2 linked regions of the Caenorhabditis elegans genome follow. The protein of the gene in region 1 purifies or fractionates together with the protein of each later gene. This does not show direct contact. Each region holds a gene or a part of one and is shown in the gene's direction. Other genes may lie near its edges. The genes, in order: mrps-5 and H25P19.1.

Region 1 (6,686 bases):
GAAAAATGTATTTGGATGGAACTCCGTTTACGCCAAAAGATTATCAAAAATCATTCGAATATTTGATGAAATCAGCTGATAAATCTAGTCCTAGTGCACAGGCTGTATTGGGAGCAATGTATATGAAAGGAAAAGGAGTCAAGAAGAATTACGAAAAGGCTTTGAAGTTGCTGACATTGTCGGCTGATAAGAAGAACGCCGATGGACAAATGTATTTAGCAGAATTACATTACAGTGAGTTTTTATACTTAGCTGTTCATTTTTATTTTTAATACAAAATATATTTATTTTCAGAAGGTGTTCCAACCAACAAAGGAGTGCATCGAGATTTCAAGAAATCTGTGAAACTTTACCAGCTTGCTTCTCAAAATGGACATATTCTTGCCTACTATAATCTTGCTCAAATGCACGCTGCTGGAACGGGAGTTCCACGTTCATGTTCCCACGCGGTTGATCTTTTCAAATCTGTAGCCGAACGAGGAAAATGGGGAGAACGATTGATGGAAGCCCATAGCGCATATAAAGATAATCGAGTTGATGAGGCCGCAATGAAATATTTATTCATGGCTGAACTTGGCTATGAAGTTGCTCAAACTAATCTAGCCTATATTTTGGATCGTGGAGAAGCGACGTCATTGTTCTCGGGACCGAAAGATAACAATATGGAAAGAGCGTTCCTCAATTGGCAAAGATCTGCAAATCAAGGTAATTATTATTAAAAATTTTTAACTTATTCTAGAATTAATAATTTGTAGAATATGCTGCTGCTCGCGTGAAACTTGGTGATTACTACTATTATGGTCTCGGTACAGAAGTTGACCACAGTTTGGCGTTCTCAAACTATAAAATGGCAGTCGATAGACACGGTGTTGCTCAAGCAATGTTCAATTTGGGATATATGCACGAAGTTGGCGAAGGAATCACTCGGGATCTTTACCTGGCTAAACGTTTCTACGATCAAGCAATTGAGCATAGTCAGGATGCATACATGCCGTCGAAATTAGCATTAGCAAAACTAGCTTTTGTCTTCTATTTGGAAGAGCTCAACAAGCTGCCATTAATCAGTTTTATGGAGAAAACCGTTGGACCACGATGGGATGCTATTTTGATGACCGTTTCTGCATTGGTTCCATTATTCTTGTTCTGGAGGCACCGACAAAATGATAATTGATACGATTCTCTCCAAATGTAAAAAATGAAAAACAAAATGCCACATCCCTGTAATTTATTTAATTATCTTCCCTGCCCAGTTAAGCACATTCCGCGCCTTCTTTTAATAGTTGTAATATTCACATCAGCCTACTCGGGTCTACGCTGTCCCTTCTAATCATCAAACATTTGCCTTCTTTTGTGTTCGTGTTTCTTTTCTCTGTTAGATGGTCCAATTAGAATTCCTCATTTCGTGTGATTTACTTGCCGATTTTTTAGTAAAAAATCGGTTTTTTTCTGATGTACGGTATTCTCATACACTTTGAGTTTAAAACAAATTTTATTTCAATCCTTTTTTTCTTCTTCTATTTCGATTCGGTTTGATAAGAGTCCGATTCGTATTTTATGAATTCAAAACTTAACTTTTTTACGAACTCTGTTTTATTTTAGATGGCATCACTTTTGCCATTTGTCCAGACCCGTAGCAATACGGTGAACTTCTTTATGAGAAGATCTGGTCCAGAACTGTGGAAAACATTAACCTCCGTTTCAAAATCTGGTCAGAAGAAAGGACGTCGTAACACAAGACAACCAGTTAGACCTCTCAATCGATTTTATCGAATTGGATCCAGTATGTGAAATATTTGTAAAAGTGAATGGTTTGGAATTATTTTTCAGGTCCAATGAAAATCGAATTTGCTGGCCTGAATGCTCCAATCAGAATGAGAGAGACAGAAAATCAAAATTTGATGTCAATTGCTGAACAGACGGAAGATGAAATTCGAGATTCAATGGGTGGAACCAAGAAAATTCTCGAAGAACGAGATACGTGAGTACTTATTTTATGATTTTTCATTTTCACACATAATTCCGTTTTTTAGTGGAAAAAAGAAGCGCAACCGTGAAAAACTGCATCCGATGGAGCGTGGATTCTCTGGAACACAACTTGTCGGACAGAAACTTGGTGCACCACCACCACTCGATGGTGTGAATTTCGATGATTTTGAAACTTATTGTTTAGAGGTTAAGCGTACTTCTAACATGACAAATGTATTTGGAAGAGTTCACACAATGTCAGCACTAGTTGTTACTGGAAATGGACGAGGACTTGCTGGATATGCTGTTGGAAAAGCACCAATTCATCGTACCACTACAGCTATCATTAATGGAATGGGAATGGCATCCAGAAAGCTATTCCACGTTGAACTTCATGAAGGACGTACGATTTATCAGGACTTTTATGCTGAATGCCGTAACACTCGAGTATTTGCACAACGTCGCCCACGTGGATTCGGTCTTACATGCCATCCCAGACTGATCAAAATTTGTGAGGCTATCGGTATCAAGGATATTTACGTGAAAGTTGAAGGATCCACGAAAAACTATTTGGCATTGACTCATGCATTTGTCACTGGACTCCTCAACCAAGAGACTCATCAACAACTGGCCGAACGAAAAGGTAAAAAAAAGCAAAATTCTAAAAAAAAACCAATTAAATAACATATGTAACATTAAATTTAAACTCTTTGAAAGACGTAAACCAAAACTTGTATTTTAGAAAAGAACATTTATTATTTTTTGCTAAATATTAGTGTTTAGAAATAAAAGTTATAATCACATAAAGTAATATTCCCGTGGTACTGGAATATTACTGTAGCTGGATGTATCTTTGTAACAGCCATCAGAGGGTCGTGCCATCTGTACGAGCCAGAGCTGGGACCAAAAATAAAAATACGGGCCAAATTGAAATTTGCAAAAAAAAACTATTTTGGTTTTACTTACTTTAGATTTTTTTTAGAAAAAAAATCATTAAACCCACTGAAAACCACATTTTGTCAAAGTCTTTGTAAAAATGCCAACAAAAATTGTTTTTGTTTTCTTTAAGAGCTTGCTCAAAATTTTCTTCTCAAATCAAACTTGATAAGTCCTTTTAATAATTTTTCATTTAATTATATTCATAAGCTCTCATTTTTCTATAAATACATGCAAAAAACATCGGTTCGTTCTTCAGACTTTGTGGGTCTTCTTCCTGGGATTGCTGATAGATTTCTCATAATTCCTCTTCTCATACTTCCGTAATCAACTGGAATTTCGAATTATTTCAGGTCTTCATGTCGTTGAAATGTCCCCATCTCGTCATTTCTTACCCCAAATTGTGGCGTCACCGATTTCCACTGAACTCAAGACCGAGGAAACTTTAGAAGCACTTGATGTAATACTAGTTTGGATTTCCAAGAACATTTTCAAATTTATATTTTCCAGCGCCTGAATCTTGATGACTTCTATGGTGAAGGACGGTATCCATTAAGAAAGCCGAAATCTCTTCCATTCTTTTCCAACCTCGAAGGTCATTTGGATGCCAGATGGAGGAAACATCCTTTCAGAAATCAGGAATCGGTTAGAAGTGATAATGTACAACTTTAATTGAAAAATAAAATTTTCAGACTATGATTCGCCTGATTGCCGATAACATGGTTCCACGTTGGACTCGTGATGCTCGTGCTGCGTGGGCGGATCAAAGAAATGAACGAATGACAACGGGTGTCGAACCAATGCCACTCGGTATCGGACTCTCGCATGTGGTTCCCAAAAAGGATGACTAGGCTATTCAATTACTGTTTCTTTTTCTCGTTTTCTTTATTCAGTAGCTCTAGAAGGAAGTCTTTAAATTGTTTTCCAGGTTTGCTTTCTTTGTTCGTTTTGTTATTCTTTATAATTTTTTCTCATCGATAAAAATTTTCTGAGACCTATATCGCTACAAAATACCTACCTTTCTGGAATTACGACAGCTGTAAAATCGACATTTGGCTTCAAATGCAGCCTGAGCTGTACACGAAAACTGGACTTAAGTCGAGCCATTTTCAGAGCAGATGAAACTTTAGTAAAGCTGGATTGATTTTTCCTTTTTCTAATTGCACTTGTCACTTGCAGATGTTTTTTAATTCGTGTTTTGTGAGCTTATACTCTACAAGACAGGCTAACACAGAAATTATTTTATTTTCAATGTTCTCCAACGTGTAATGAGAGAGTGCTTGAGAAGAGTAGAACGAGAGAGACATAGTCAGCAAGAATAAAGTGATATGCGGCCAGCTAGGAACAATGCCACGTGGCACTTTTTATTTGGCCACGTGGAGTCAAAAAGTAAAAAGCTAAGTCTTGCAGGAATGCGGTTAAGAGGGGGATCGGATGGAAAGTTTATGGTGAGGGAGGTAGTGGTGAAAATTTCAGATGGATATTTTCAGACTTGATTTCGAGATTCAAATCAACGAAGTTTTGTCATGTAGCTTCCCAAGAAGATTTTTTGAAGATTTTTCATTCCACCGCGTTTGCCACCGCCATTGACGAAAGGAGACTTTTTGGAGACTGAAATCAAAAATTATAAGAATATGGAACTCATGAAAATATATTTATTTTCCATATCACATCACATATTTGTCACATTAAGACTCTCCAAATTTCGTCACAGTGTCCAGAAAAGAACCTTAATCCACTAATAAATACTTATAATTTATTCAAAAGACAATTGTCTTTATTTTTTTGAAAATAGCTTCCTCTTTTCATTATTCTCTCCGGGGGTGGTTGATCAGTCGACTAGATGAGAGGTGATCATTGAAACATGTCACAAGACTGGAATATACTAAAACAAAAGTTTGGAACAAAATTGAATCAACTTTTTGTTTTCGTTTTGAACAAGCGGTCATCATCAGTGAGCAATATATTAACTAATTCTGATTTTCATAATTTATGCGACGATTATTTACGCAATTGAAGTGTGCAATACACATTGACTATAGACAAAAACAAATGTTATTTCTCGGGATTTTGAATTTTCAGTAGGTACAGTAGGGCTGGGTTAGATGTACTTTTGCTTACACATCTTGGGAAAAACTCTCAATGAATCAACAAGAGAAGTTCGGTTGCAATAGTGATATCGTAACTTTACAACTTTCAGAAACACGCAAATAAAGGTGCACGTATTTTTTTGGATGGGTCTCACAGTGGGCAGATTATATTTCATCACGGTGGCGCTTTTCAAGACAACGAAGTTCCAAAAACATCGAAAATGGTACAAAAACTTTTTCTCCATACCAGACCCATCCAAATAAATAACTGATAATTGCGAGTTTCCGATAACAAAAGTTATGAAAATTTTGCCCAATATTTAAGAACAAAAAAAAAGAAATTCCTACCCGGTCCTGTGACACAGTCAAGTCGATAGAGACTCATCAAGTATTCCACACATCCCCAGTTTCCATTACATTCGTTTAGAGTCGAACAATCGACAGCGATGAATTCTGAAAAAAAAACATGAATTGAATCCTGCATCTACTTATATTTTTCCTAACTACTGTTAGAACTGAAATTTAGCCCCCTATGTAGTCTCTAGACATCAATAACTGCACGGGACTGAACTAATCTTTTCCCGCCACCATTATTTCCTTGATTTCATTTTTCTTCTCCTTTTTTCCATCAAAAGATTACCAAACCATAATCCTTTAATCTGGAAAAGCCAAACTAATAAGGAAGAACAAAAGGATATACTATAGACGTGATAAATCCATACGGGTAATTTACGCAAAAACAAATATTTTGCCTTGGAATCTTAGGTACGTGCTGAATGAAGTGCTTCATTTCCACCTACACCTATTGAAATCAGGTGGTGGTGCAATGTATTACTAATAATTCAAAAGGAAAGTATTGGATTACTCTGCAGAAATTTGAACCAGTTCGCCAATGTGGCGGTTCTTAGAACTTTGGTTTCAATTTCTAGGGAACAGTTTATAAAATAAAATAAAAGAATACCGTACCTTCTGGTGATTCTCGAATCACTGCTCCAAGAGCTGTGTGTAAAACGATAATGCTGATTGCAATGATCACTTTTGTAAGCATTTTATCTGCACTTTGTGTGTTACCTAGAAAAAACTATATATGAATAAATTTAAATAAATTTTAAAAAAACTCAAATAAATTTTAAAGAAATTTGAGGAAAGTACTTTAGAAAAAATGGGCAAAGGAGAGGCGACGTTGCTTTCTTTAAGAGGAAGGCTGAATCGCAAGGGGAGGGCTTGTAGGAAAGTGGGCGGGGCTTAGGAAAGAATTAAGCTGGAAGAGAAAATGAATGAGCAGGAGGGAGGGAATGGATGATAAGAATGTGTTCGTGATCATAACCTTTCCTTAAGGTTTAGGATGATGACTCAAAATTACGAAATTGAGTGGGTGGTCAGACTAGACGAAATTGCTACTTGTGAATGAGAACGCTTCTTTGTTTTCCTTGTAGCCTAATAGCTGATAGTCTCAAGTCATCAAAAAACTTCAGATGAATGGAAAAGATTCAGTGACGTCTTAACCACTTCAAAACACAGTAACCTCGTTATTTATGACTTTTATTATATTGAGCTCATCACTTTAACTTTTGGATATCTTTTGTGGTTATTTGTATACCCTATCAAAATTAATAGCCATATATCATCTTCTCGAGCTTCTTAGTCAGCTACCTTTCAAAAGTTTAAAGGATTCTAAAACGCGGTTTCCGTTTT
Region 2 (6,685 bases), about 12 Mb from region 1:
GGTGTAGTCAATCCGAAGCGAAAAATCGAAGAATTCATCGAAAAAAGAGTTAATGTCATATTTTACGACCGGTTTCAGAATTGGGAAATTGCCACGGGGTCGTATATTGCGAGGAATACAAAATTTTCAGTGGATTTGCTGAACGGTAAGTTTTCTAATAATTTTACGTAGGCACAAAAAGGATGCCTACCTGGTGCCTACTGCCTAATCTTATTGAATTTGAGTTCACGCCAAAGCTGTAAAAATAGGCCGTAGGCAGCTTATTTTGCCTGTCTGTATTAAATTTTTTTAGAGTTTGCAAACTATGAAGTACGACTACCTAAGAGCCTTCACGGCTCCGATAATGGAGCTATCCATGTAAGCAATCCTCGATGCACCATAACGAATTTCTTCCATTTCAGATGTTCCTCGCTGAAAAACTAACACCAAAATCTTCTCCAAAACTCGAAAAGTGCCGAAAATTTTACGAAAAATCAAAAAGCTACGAAGACCTGTTCACATTCGAGGCATGTATTCGTGATTTGCTAGGAGATTCTATAGATTTCGGGAAAATCCGAATTTTGGAAAAAGGAACAAGCTGGGTGAGAGACGGATGGCTCACGAAAAGTCAATGGCACCCGGGAATTGATTTTATGTTGCATGGATGGAAATCTTGGCAGTTGAGGGGAATCCCGCAAAATGGACTGAGGTTTTTAGAAAAGAAATATATCTAGTTAAGGAAAAATATATATTTCTAGACCACTTCCAATTTCAAAAAATCGGTGGTATAGCCCGTTTTCTGGAAATTTTGACCTGGAAAAATGCAAACCTGGAAATGTTACATGGAATTACGATTTGAGGGTGCTTGGCAATAAAGAGGAAATTTTGCAAACCTTGAAAAAAATTCGGGTCGACATTGAAATAATGAAAAGGAAATCATTTGCAAGACTCGACGGAGATTATTGAAATACATTTGTTTTTTTCTTAACAAGGAAAGTAAGTCAATCTAGTCCCGGACTTTAAATCGAGACGTATGTCATTTGAAAGCTTATGTTTAGACTAGATCACCACAAAAATTTCAGCGGCGGAACTCAACTCTGAACCCCTGAAATCGCCATCTGAAAGTGCTCCAGTGCATTTTTTTCGCTGATTTCTATGTCAAGTAAATGGCCTTAAAAGGGGTTCTGAGCGATTAGAAATTGTTTTTAGGGGGTTTTAGGGTCTAACAAACAATGTGGAAGCTTTTTGGAAATTTTTATTTTTTTGAAAGAATCTGAGTGTCTAATGGATCGAAAAAAATTCAGATTTTTTCAAAAAAATAAAAATTTCCAAAAAGCTTCCACATTGTTTGTTAGACCCTAAAACCCCCTAAAAACAATTTCTAATCGCTCAGAACCCCTTTTAAGGCCATTTACTTGACATAGAAATCAGCGAAAAAATGCACTGGAGCACTTTCAGATGGCGATTTCAGGGGTTCAGAGTTGAGTTCCGCCGCTGAAATTTTTGTGGTGATCTAGTCTAAACATAAGCTTTCGAATGACATACGTCTCGATTTAATGTCCGGGACTAGATTGACTTACTTTCCTTGTAAGTTTTATAAATTTTATATTACAGAAACACAAAATTCTGAGAATGCGTATTGGACAACATAATTGACGCGCAAAATATCTCGTAGCGAAAACTACAGTAACCCATTAAAAGACTGATGTAGCGCTTGTGTCGATTTACGAGAATTTTCTTATGTTTTGCTTTTTTTTAAAATATTCTTTTGAGAAATAAATGATCGAGCCCTTAAATCGCCATCAGCGCTACAGTAGACATTTACAGAATTACTGTAGTTTTCGCTACGAGATATTTTGCGCGTCAAATATGTTGTACGCATTTTCTAAATTTTGTGTTCTCGTAAAACTTAAAGGCGCACAATTTTTTCAAATGGGTCTCGGCGCGAAAAAACGTTATTGTGCTTTTTCCCTCATTTTCCTTACATTTTTCAATAAAATCACTTGGTTTTAGATAATTTTGTCGTTTTTTTTTTCAAATATTTTTATTGAAAATCGGTTTAAATCAGTTTTTCAAGTACAAATAAACTTTTTTAATATTTAAAAAACGTTTTTTTTTCGATTCTAAAGTTCAAAGTTGACCTGAAAATCCATAATTTAACTTTTATTTATATGGTATACGGTATGCAATGAGAACTGTGCAAACACGGAAGCCGCGTACTTTTCCATTTACCGTAGTAAAACAGTTTTTTTCATTTTCAATAATTTTTTTCGCATTTATTCCTTCTTTCCTCAAACAAACATCCATGTTCTCCCGTTGTCAGTCGTTTTCCGTTCTTCTCCGCCTGCGTCTCTTTGCCTCTCTCCCCGCACTTTTCTTTTTCATTTATTTTTCATTTCGCTGGCAGTTTTTCGGCATTGACTCACAATTTTTCGAATTTTTCTTATCGATTTATAATTTTTAATTAATAAATATACACTTTCACACTACTTTCAAATAAAAATATATAATTTCCAGATATAATCTCCCCAAAAAAATCGATAAAAATGAGAAGAGGAGCCCAGCCGCCGCCGGCTGAAGACGTGGAAAAATGCGAGGAAGACGATTGCAAAAAGAGATTTTTGAAGAAACGAACAAAGCGAAATGCTGATAATACTTATCATCCAAGTCATAATAAGAAGTAAATTCGAAGAATAAAATAATAAATTTAAAAAAACCAACCTTAAAATTTTCAGATCTACCGCAGAAATTCCGGATTTTCGAACAAGCGCCGTCTCTGAAAGGGATAATGAAACAATTTTAATGCTTCCACCAGTAGGAAATGTCGAAGAGCACGATATTGAGCAATTTAAGCGAGAAACATGTCATTTGCCAGAGGATGTGGTGAATTTTTATTTATTTTTCCTAAAAAAAAAGATTTTTGGGTGTCAGAATGTCCCATGTCGGTTTGATCTTCGAAAAATGCGGGAGTTGAGAGCTCGGAAAAAATTCCCGCATTTTTTGTAGATCACCACCCCGCCAATTTAATAATTTTCCCACTTCCAGGCATTCCGAATTCTCTCGTTCTACGAATATGATTTTGAAACTGCGACACGTGTCGCCTTGCAAATGGATGCTCCGGATTTGATGCCGGATTTTGCCAAGAAAATTATGATCGCGAATGCTCCGTTTGAAAGGGATGCAAAATCGCGGAAAAGGATGCACTACGAGGAATTTTATTTTACAAAAACTGTCAGTTTTCTGGAAAAAACTGAGAAAAAATGTGCAAAAAAAACAATTTTATCGGAAAAAAAAATTTGAAAATTTGAAAATTCCGAAAAAAAGGCCAAATTTTAGCTAAAATCTGAAATCTTCGCGTGTCGTCAATTTGCAGACTTTTTGAATGTTTTCTTAATGGCGCACGAATTTATTCAGACGGGTCTCGCCGCGCAAAAAAATTTTATGGTATTTTTTAACATATTTTTATACAAAAAAAACACTTTTGAACAAAAAAAACATTTTTAACAAAATAAGGAAAAAAAATTAGCAAAATTGTATAAAAAGATTGACCTTGAACAAAAAAAATTAAAAAAAAAACGATTTTGAACAGAAAAATGAAAAAAAAAACAATTTTTAGAAAAAAAAACAATTTTAAACAGAAAAGATCTTGAACAGAAAAAAACAGTTTTGTACTGGAAAAAAAATTGAAAAAAAAATTGCAAAAAATGTAAAAAAGATGGATTTTGAACCGAAAATTAAAAAAAAACAATTTTGAACAAAAAAAATTAAAAAGAAATATGAAAAGAAAAAATGAGAAAAAATATTTAAAAAAAAAAACATGTTTTTTTAAAAATTAAAAAGAAAAATCAGAAAAACTACCATAATTTTTTTGCGCGCCGAGACCCAACTAAATAAATCCATGCGTCTTTAAGAACGCATGCCAAAATCCTGCGAAATTTCGATAATAAATTTAAAATTGATTTCCAATGGAAAAATTTGAGATTTTTAACAAAACTCGTCGACTTTTGCACATTTTGAGTCTACACTAGTGTTTTAAAATTTTTTTTTTCAATCAAAAAATTAAGAAAAATTATTTCTTATTCAGTTCCGAAAAGGAGTGGACACAAAAACGCTGGTCAATTTCTACTATAAAGAAAAAAACAAATTGTGCGGAAATTGGCGCCTCGAGACCCCAGATCGCCTGGTTACTCCTGAAGATAAGCAGAGGCTGGAAGAGAAAATGAAGGCCAGTAATATCACAATTTATCAGTGAGTTTTTGAAAAAAATTAAATTTAAAAAGAAATATTGAATTCCAGGCAAGACCCAAAAAAGCAGACGCGTGCTCAGAAGGCCATGTCAACTCGCCTAGCGAATCTACGTGGTAGTAGAGGAGGACAGGAAACGGATCTGAACAACGATTCGGACACCACCTCGGTGAACAGCGCTCAAGAATCCACGAATGGAACTCCGATGCCGGAGCCGGAGCCATCACGACCACCACGCATCAACTTGAAATTCCGATTCACTCCGTCAAAACTCGGAACAGCGACGCCGGGCATTTCGATCATTTCCTCGCCGACTCCACCGAAATCTCCGCCGAAATCCACCCCGCGAACTTCAAAATCGACGCCACCGAAGCGCCCATACCTAAAGCGATCTCTCGAGCAGGCCCGCGGCGGAGCCCAGAAGTCCTATCCGGCCCGAACGCGACGCTCGACGAACATCTTTGAATAATTCCCCATCTCAACTCTCACTTTTTTGCCGGTTGTGTAATATTTATTCTAACGTGATTTTTGTTGTGTCACTTTCTCATATTTTGTGTTGTTTTTTTAATAGTATAATAAATATTATTTATTTTGAGACAAAAAATTTGAAAAAAAAAAATCTAAAAATACGCATTGTGCAACATATTTCACGCGCAAAATATCTCGTAGCGGAAACTACAGTAATTCTTTAAATGACTACTGTAGTGTCGATTTACGGGCTCGGTTTTCAAAATGAATTTCTTTTTGAATTTTTTCCTGCATTCCTCCGTATTATTTTCCAATTTTCTGATTAATTTTAATATTCTATTGATAAATCCGTAAATCGACACAAGTAGCCCTACAGTAGTCATTTAAAGAACTACTGTAGTTTTCGCTATGAGATATATTTTGGTGTCCATTATTACCGATACAGAGCGTGTAGATAGTGAGAGAGTGGCAGACATCCGGGTCCCAAAGGGGCGGGGCGCGCGGAAGAGACGATTTGTGTCGATTTACGGAATGTTGTCAACGGGAAAAATTTCGTAAATCGACACAAATCGTCTCTTCCGCGCGCCCCGCCCCTTTGGGACCCGGATGTCTGCCACTCTCTCACTATCTACACGCTCTGTATCGGTAATATATTGTTTCATTCTCAAAATTGTGTGTTACCGTAGTAAAACGTGATATTTCAATTTTCGTTAAATTCATTCCAAAATGAAAACCTACTTTATAACCAATCAGTGTCGTCTCACTCCGCCCACTTCTTCTGATTGGTTGAAAAGTTGGTGGAGCAAGTCGCTGATTGGTCGCAGTTCAAATTTTGGAGAAAATCACTGGAAAAATAGGCGGAGTTTCGAGACAAAAAGACGATACTTCAAAAGTTGAAAATTCGCAAAATATAATTCGCGCGTTTGTTTTTTGTGGTATTTCTGAATTTGAGACTGCTTGAAATTTTTTTAAACGCAAAATCTTAAAAAATTATTATGGTCCCTCTCGAACTCCAATCGATCGAAATGGCTGGTGAATTTTTTTTGGAACAAATCGTAGTGCAACGTGGCGGATCGGAGCGACACTTGATGCATTCGTCGCGTTTGCCAAACTGACGTCTTGAAAGGATGGTTCAGGCTTCATAAATTTTAGAATGCGAAGAATGGATTGCAGTTTTTGAGGCTTTAAGTTTTCCTGGACCTACAAAATTATTTTTAAATTGCATTTTAAATTAAATCAATTATCTCACCTCGCTATTGAATCCCAAATAAATTATTGCATTGGAAGTGCAATTCAATGTGTAAAACATTGGAATCAACACAAACCACTCGATTCCATGATTTGCGATGATTAGGGGCAGAATTCGGAACAGGGACCATGCGCAGATGTAAAATATCAGAAGAAGGCAGAATTGGAAGGCGTATCTGAGAGAATAAGCTTTTACGAAAGGCTCGGCCCGTGGAGCGCACCCCACTGAAATACCCTATACAAGTGTGTCCCACCGATAAATACATACGCTCCGCCTTAAAAGGTTGGGTCTCGTTAGGTAGTCGCGTCAAAGCCGTCTATTTAACAATCTTATGCCAAAGTTTAAAAAACACGATATTTTCATCTTAAAACTCATCAAAAATCGACTGAAAATATATAACAACTTTCCTAATGAGACTCAACTTTTGTCGACGGAGCGCGTTTGCACCTCGATTTCAAAAAGCGCGCTTTTAAGCGGAAGGCTTACTTGACATCTCGCTCCCTCCGTAATTTTTGCTCTTCACCAGTTGATGAGTTGGGCGTCGATTTGTGAACTGTCCAGAATATCTAAAAACTATTTGTTTCGAAACATTCTTTTTGTGAAAGTAGACAAAAATAACTCAAAAAACTCACCATAACGTAGAAAAACGCCGAAACCACAGAGCTGAGAGCGTTTAAAGGAACATCAAAGTTGTTCGACGAGTTTGCAACTCCTTCTATCACATTGTACGAGTAGGAGAGGTAA

What was found.
Region 2: the proteins of mrps-5 (region 1) and H25P19.1 fractionate together in Caenorhabditis elegans (co-fractionation; one large-scale study listed by BioGRID). This does not show direct contact.

The regions. Positions count from the first base shown.
Region 1 is NC_003283.11:12,561,888-12,568,573, forward strand, and holds mrps-5 (Small ribosomal subunit protein uS5m), read left to right. Parts: upstream 1-1,599; coding exon 1,600-1,780; intron 1,781-1,827; coding exon 1,828-1,978; intron 1,979-2,030; coding exon 2,031-2,608; intron 2,609-3,254; coding exon 3,255-3,361; intron 3,362-3,411; coding exon 3,412-3,546; intron 3,547-3,593; coding exon 3,594-3,752; 3' UTR 3,753-3,914; downstream 3,915-6,686. Other genes in the region: sel-1 (S5 DRBM domain-containing protein), read left to right, coding at 1-234, 295-705, 756-1,171; nssp-66 (uncharacterized protein), read right to left, coding at 4,412-4,512, 5,340-5,444, 5,958-6,039.
Region 2 is NC_003283.11:685,190-691,874, forward strand, and holds H25P19.1 (CUE domain-containing protein), read left to right. Parts: upstream 1-2,494; 5' UTR 2,495-2,525; coding exon 2,526-2,659; intron 2,660-2,714; coding exon 2,715-2,862; intron 2,863-3,024; coding exon 3,025-3,210; intron 3,211-4,063; coding exon 4,064-4,227; intron 4,228-4,275; coding exon 4,276-4,693; 3' UTR 4,694-4,843; downstream 4,844-6,685. Other genes in the region: F31F4.1 (Nucleotide-diphospho-sugar transferase domain-containing protein), read left to right, coding at 1-145, 293-357, 402-688, 738-945; srx-4 (G-protein coupled receptors family 1 profile domain-containing protein), read right to left, coding at 5,686-5,892, 5,942-6,116, 6,428-6,507, 6,574-6,685.